2 linked regions of the Caenorhabditis elegans genome follow. The protein of the gene in region 1 interacts with the protein of each later gene in a pairwise test. Each region holds a gene or a part of one and is shown on either strand. Other genes may lie near its edges. The genes, in order: arrd-24 and bra-2.

Evidence for each region.
Region 2: the proteins of arrd-24 (region 1) and bra-2 interact in a two-hybrid assay, tested with the Caenorhabditis elegans proteins (one large-scale study listed by BioGRID).

The regions. Positions count from the first base shown.
Region 1 is NC_003284.9:13,978,297-13,982,155, forward strand, and holds arrd-24 (Arrestin C-terminal-like domain-containing protein), read right to left. Parts: upstream 2,222-3,859; 5' UTR 2,211-2,221; coding exon 2,029-2,210; intron 1,985-2,028; coding exon 1,879-1,984; intron 1,785-1,878; coding exon 1,622-1,784; intron 1,579-1,621; coding exon 1,469-1,578; intron 1,424-1,468; coding exon 944-1,423; 3' UTR 773-943; downstream 1-772. Other genes in the region: F48F7.6 (Zf-C4pol domain-containing protein), read left to right, coding at 89-484.
Region 2 is NC_003281.10:909,351-912,836, reverse strand, and holds bra-2 (MYND-type domain-containing protein), read right to left. Parts: upstream 1,577-3,486; 5' UTR 1,560-1,576; coding exon 1,419-1,559; intron 1,374-1,418; coding exon 1,044-1,373; intron 992-1,043; coding exon 818-991; 3' UTR 594-817; downstream 1-593. Other genes in the region: F23H11.5 (Deltamethrin resistance protein prag01 domain-containing protein), read left to right, coding at 2,256-2,330, 2,375-2,509, 2,639-2,719; crls-1 (Cardiolipin synthase (CMP-forming)), read left to right, coding at 2,970-3,254.

The sequences.
Region 1 (3,859 bases):
TCCTAAGACTAAACAATTAGCATACAATCATAAAAAAGTTAATATAAATTAAACATTACGATGTATAAATTTAAAAAGCAATTTTCAGCATCGAATTGACAAGGATGAACTAAAAGTTGAGGAATATCTCGAGAAGTATCTAGAGATTAAAACCAGAAATCGCATGGAACAATTGGACATTGTTCAAGCCAGAATTGTAAGAGAGATGAAGGCTGTAGCAATTGCTCAGGGAAAATCAGAAGAGGAGGTTGAGCACATTCTGGCAAAGCAAGGACGTAAAGCTCGTCGAATGCAAAGATCTGAATACAAACACGCAGAGGAAGACAATAAAGGTGTTCGCCAAAGACTTGCCGCCAAACTTGTGGCCAAGAAATCGGAAATTATTGAGCGTTTCTGCCTTGCTCAACGTACTGTCTTTGTTAAAGCAGATTGTCCAAATGTCTATGGCCGGACAACCACTCACATTTCCTATCTTTTAGAATAAGTTGCTGTCGTCGTTGCACTGTTATCTTGTTTCACTACTGCACAAAAAGTGGCTCACAAAAAAATCCTGTAAAATTGTCTATAAAAATTCACCGTCAATCTCGAATATCACTACTCCTCATATTATTTTCTGAAATGTTTTTTTTTAAACTTATCTGTTGATTGTAATAAACTTGTAATTTACAATTCATCCTTATAGTTTTTTGAATCTACCCTACCTTATTTTTTGCCAAATGAATATTTTTGAAACTCAATGTTTAGCAATAGAGAAAGAAAATTGATTGACTAATGTAAATGGCCAGAATTTTATTAATTCACAATTATACAAGAAAAAATAAAATAAAATACCCAATTAAATTTTAGTTACACACATTGATTCCTCATAAGACGGCGGTAGAGCGGATGTTCCCGCTGTATCATCGGTCGGAGCACTTGGAACCACAGTTGAATAGGCTGGAGGTTAGGAATCCAGCCGCTCAAGGACAGGTGGATCAGACGGAAAGGTAGTTACCGTTGGCTCCACGATCGATTCAGTTATTGGCACTGTGCCGATGATGATATCAAACTCGCAGTGCAATGTATTATTAAGGGTTGTTAAAGTGTCCAACCTCACAGAAAGACAATACTCAATGCTGATAATGGGACTTGTAAATGTTGGTGGCGACTTTGGGATTTTCATCCGCAGCATTTCACGGCCAGCGGTTTTTGGAGCAATTTTTATGCTTTTTCGAGCTTCTGCAATACGTTTGCTTTCATCCTTGTGATGTTCGTGGTAAGACGAATGAGTGCATAAGAGGCCATGGTTTTTGCTAGCATTGTAATGCGAGTGCTGATGAAGTTCAGCTCGCACAAACGTTGCTGCACGTTTGGAAGCATTGTCAATGTCGATTGTGATTGGCAGGTATTCTCCAGGAGCATATCCTGCTTTGGGGATAGTTACCTGAAAGCATTAAATAACCTATCAATGTAGCAGCGTTGTACTCACAGTTATTGTTACTATTCCTTTTTTAAATATTTGCCCAATGTCCTTCACATCCTTCATCATTCTAGGAACATTTCCCAACGGAAGATGATTCAAGTCAAAGTTGGGAATAACTGAAAAATAACTTTTTGCGCACATTAACAATTTTCGAAATACCTTTGAAGTCTTCCCTTTCGTTTTTGTTGAACTTCCATGGTCTGTCAAGCTCAACTCGCACGGAATAACGAACGTGGCCGTGGAAACCTTCAAAACTAGGTGGACATTCTATCGGGAGTGGAAATGCAAACGGGAAGACATGGTGGCCAGATGGAAGTTTTTCCTGTAACAATATTGTAGTTTGTTATCAGTTAAATGCATGAAACTAAATACTCAAGATCGTCTTTTGTACATTACACTTCCAATTTAAGACTTACAGTTCCATTTCTTGCACTCCATGCAATCGTTTCTCCAGAGACGTAGTCAACTTCTGCAGAGTAGTGCACAATTTCAGTATAACTTTCCTCTTTTCCTTCACAATTACTAAACTCTTGTATGTCATTAGGTCTAGATGTCTTGGAGCTTACGTTCTGTATCGTCGTTCCCCTTCACTCCACTTCGTATGCGCAGCACCGTGAATACAGATTTTCAAGAATCGGGCAGTGATTGGCTCGTTGGATCTCAAAACAACCTGCCCAGTAACAGTTTGACCTGGTGCATAACCTCTCGGGCTATCGAACACAATTCCAAAGTGATCCATATGTTCCATATCTAAACTAAAAAGATACAAGGAAATTTAGAATTTTAATTAAGGAAAATGTTGTATGATTATAAAATGAATGAAAACTGATAAAATGAAGTGGTTATCAAATAAATTGCCGTTTTATAATATATTGTGACTCAAAACGCGTAATCAGGAGGTAAAATGTCGTCATCAGTCTTATACCGTGCGTTATTTGATTTTTGTGAAATCATATTTATATTATAAAACGGCAATTTATTTGATAACCACTTCATTTTATCAGTTTTCATTCATTTTATAATCATACAACATTTTCCTTAATTAAAATTCTAAATTTCCTTGTATCTTTTTAGTTTAGATATGGAACATATGGATCACTTTGGAATTGTGTTCGATAGCCCGAGAGGTTATGCACCAGGTCAAACTGTTACTGGGCAGGTTGTTTTGAGATCCAACGAGCCAATCACTGCCCGATTCTTGAAAATCTGTTTTCACGGTGCTGCGCATACGAAGTGGAGTGAAGGGGAACGACGATACAGAACGTAAGCTCCAAGACATCTAGACCTAATGACATACAAGAGTTTAGTAATTGTGAAGGAAAAGAGGAAAGTTATACTGAAATTGTGCACTACTCTGCAGAAGTTGACTACGTCTCTGGAGAAACGATTGCATGGAGTGCAAGAAATGGAACTGTAAGTCTTAAATTGGAAGTGTAATGTACAAAAGACGATCTTGAGTATTTAGTTTCATGCCTTTAACTTCACAGAATATTTTACTCTCTGGCTTCACAGAATATTTTAATCTCTGGCTTCACCGTATATTTTACTCTCTGGCTTCACAGAATATTTTACTCTCTGGCTTCGCAGAATATTTTACTCTCTGGCTTCACCGTATATTTTACTCTCTGGCTTCACCGTATATTTTACTCTCTGGCTTCACAGAATATTTTACTCTCTGGCTTCGCAGAATATTTTACTCTCTGGCTTCACCGTATATTTTACTCTCTGGCTTCACAGAATATTTTACTCTCTGGCTTTACAGAATATTTTACTCCCTGGCTTCACACTTTTTTGAATTTGGTTTCGAAATTCTGAAAGAACACAAAATTTGCAACAAAATGGCTACAGGATTTTTGAAAAAGTTAGTTTGACGCCAGATTCTAATTTTTGAAAATTGGAAAATCTACTAATTTTGCATGGTCGTTTTTAGTCATTCTCAAACTGTGCACTAAAAGGTATGACTGAAAATCCACTTTTTCTGCTTGAACTCCGCTAGAGGAATTTCTGTATCCGAATTATTTTTTACAGGCATATACCTTGACGAAATTACAAAAAAAAATTTTTGGAATTTTGGGAGACTTGATATGGCCCTGAATAGAAAATTTTTTTCTAAGATTATTGGTAAAGTTCGGGACCTGGAAATTAAATTTAAGCCACGCTAGAGGGGTTTCTGTATCCGAATTATTTTTTACAGGCATATACCTTGACGAAATTACAAAAAAAAAATTTTGGAATTTTGGGAGACTTGATATGGCCCTGAATAGACAATTTTTTTCTAAGATTATTGGTAAAGTTCGGGAAATATACGGTGAAGCCAGAGAGTAAAATATACGGTGAAGCCCGAGAGTAAAAAATACGGTGAAGCCAGAGAGTAAATGTTATATATTTTGTAATAAT
Region 2 (3,486 bases), on another chromosome or scaffold:
GAATCTCTTTTACTATGTAATCTCTTTTACTACAGAATCTCTTTTACTACGAATTCCGCATTCAGATCTTTTACTACAGTTGGCTCTTTTACTACGTGATCTCTTTTACTACGAGTTGCCTACACAGATCTTTTACTACTTTTTACTCTTTTGCTACGGACGTAGTTGTAGTTAGTGGGGGATACTGTTGGGATACTGTAGTGGTACTGTGCAGGGCTGGGACCAAAAAAATTTTAGACCAAAAAACAAAAAACAAAAAATTGATTTTTTTGAAAAACCAAAAAAACAAAAAATTGAATTTTTCGAAAAACCAAAAAAACCAAAAATTTTTGATGCTTAAGTTTATTTTTAATGGGGTTATTCAAGTATGTACCTCCAACTGCAATATTATTCAAGTTACAAGTGTTTTTAGAAAATTTGCATTGTTTGGGCTAATACCCATACTGAAAAAAATTTTTTTTAGAATTTCCACATTTCTAAACTTTTCTTCTGACTTTTGGCACACATTTTTCCTAATAGGCCTAGAAAAGAAGTTTTCCGCAGATGAAGACGCGTGTGTTAACTCGATATCTGTTAACACGATATCCATAAATCAATTTAATTAAATTTTTTATTGAACAAGGAAAACATAGAAAGTTCGACAAATTGATAAAGATGAAGAATAACAGAAACTCATTAGGATTTGGAATATAAATAGACGTGGTGGGTGAGATCAGCGTCGCATTTGTGCGGTGGTGGGTGGTTGAAATTTATTCAGTTTCGTGTTCTGACGTGAGATTGATGATAATGATGATTAGAGAGTTAAAACGAAAGAAAATTATTGTTGTTGTGGCGGCATTGGTGCTCCGACTTGTTGAGGAGCTGGTACACTTGGTGCTCCAGGAGCATTGTTTCCTTTCTTTCTGCGGCAAAACTTTCGATGAGTCTGCCAATGTCCCTGTTGGCATTCAACACTGCAATATGCGGTATTCCAGCAGCAATGGTATATAGCCTGAGATTTGGATAATATCATTGCTTTCATAGATGGAATCAAATATACTCACCTCATTATCACACGACCAGCACCATTGTTTCTTTCTTGATGCAACCAACTCTCTTTTATGCTTTTCATTCAACTTTGCACTTTCCATCTTCAAGTTCTCTCTGTGTTTGTTTTCTAGATCGGCTCTTGTCTGTTCCAACTCGTCTTTGAACTGTTGTAAGAGTTCCGATCGAATTTTCTGTTGATCCATCATGAATTCTTGATGCAACTTCTCGGTAAGCTCTACAAGACACTTCTCACGTGACGCGTGATACTCACTGAGCCAATGACGTTGCAGGTCGATTATCATTCGTTTCATCCCTTCACTGACGACCACTCCATCGAGATGATACTGAAAATAATCGATTTTTCGACAGGAATTTCATTGAAAACTGACCTGCCGCACATTATTTTCTAACGCCGCATCTCCGAGATCCTTGTCGATCGGCGATAGGTGAATATCACCTTGTTGAGGAACCACTCCTTGCTGTTGTTGCTGATCCATCATCAATTCATCATGCACTTGCCCATCGGCCATCTTTTGCACGGGTTTAACTGAAAAAATTGTTGTGAAAAATCGATAGAACGTTCTACAGTATTCAGAGTAGTTTTCAAGGCGTTATCAAGAATATAAATCAGTTAATACGTATAAAAGAACATGAATTGACTGTTGAAATTATTTTTATCAAAAAAACACTTTAAAAATCTGAATCACAGCAAGAAAAACGAATAACAAAGAGCTACCGTACGCGCAACAGAGAAAGAAACAAATATTTGTCAACGACACTCCGTTATAACGGTGCGCATGTTGTTTAGCGTAATCGATTCAAGGCCGCCCGCTCGTTTTCTCTCCTATTTTAAAAGTTATTTTATCGATTATTCTTATTTTTCCGTGGTGGTTTAAGTAAAATAATTACTCGTAATATATTAAAATAGACATTTCGGCATTTTTGCGCATAGAATCATTATTCAAGTAATGTAGCAAAATGTATTTAAATACATTTGTGACGTCACAAATGTATTTAAATACATGTTTTTATATACTTGAATACAGTTGTGACGTAATTTTTCTACACTTTTTAATTTTCCGACACTACTTGAATAACCCCATTAACATAGGTTTTCGAAATATACTGCTTTCTAGCATAAATTGAGGTTTGCAGACTTTTTTCTTAATCAACTTTCCATCTACAATAATTTTTGGTACTTTCGAAAATAAATTATTGTTTTCAGGATGAACCGTACCGCTTTCAACCGCTTCTTGGCTCTTAGTCGTTTTGCACAAAAGCGTCACGGGCACGGACATCACGTATTGTTTATTGTTCGGTTCAATGTAGCAGCGTATTTATTCAGGTCGCCAACCCGGGACCACCATGCACCTTCGACTTGATGCCAGTGCCATTCCAATCTTACAAGAAGGTCTACGGCGAGCTCCAGGGAAAGTTCAACACCTATCTTGCAGTGTCAGCGGTTTTCTTCGCTTCGTCGGTTGGTATTTTACTATATTTTTTTATTAACATTAACGATTGCTAGTGAGATTCAGGATGGATTTCCATAAACAAACAAAAATTTACTAGGTCGCGGGGTTTTTTTTTTCAATAATTCAACATTTTACAGTTCGCCACCGCCATCTACACTAACCTCTTCGCCTTCGAAGAAGCCATCAGACCACCACAGAGCTATCGCAATCGCAAATAAATGCTCATTTGCCTCGATGATCGATTTATTTCTTTATTGTATTCACCAATTTTTAGTTTAGCCGAATATGTCGTGACAACTTTCTGTGGTTTCGCCTTATGTGGCAAATGAACAATTTTTGACTGTTGTCACTTCCGTCGATTGTCTAACTGTTTTATCGAATTTTTGTACTTGCGAAAGCTTGATTTACATATGAGATCTGAATTGAAATTCAGATTTGAATCGCTAATGTTACTGCGGAAGTGTTGAAATGATAGTAACATCGATGTTTCGTGGTATTGCTTGCCGCTGCGAGCTTCAACTACTGCTAACTCCTCGTCGAATGCTACGAAACTTTTCAAGTTTGGAGCAGAAGCAAAGTCCAAAAATAGAGTCACTACCACCGGAAGAACGCGGCAAATACAAAGTGGCGACTATCCCTAATGCAATTTGTACAGCACGAATCGCGGCGACTCCACTCATCGGATATCTTGTTGTTCAACACAATTTTACTCCTGCTTTCGTGCTTTTTACAGTCGCCGGAGCAACGGACTTGGTAAATCTCTTTTTTTTTCAGAGAAAATCAAACAGTTCTTGATTTATTGTCGAAAAAACAACCAAAAATGACAAATGTTCAATGAGAAAAAACCCTAAATATGCGGACAAATTTCGAAAAATGTTCAATTTTCTCGGGAAAAATCACTGAAAAACAAATTATTTCATATTTCCTTCACAGAACCATTTGAAAATTTAAATTTTTGGTGTTTTGCCAAGAAATCTTTTTGGAA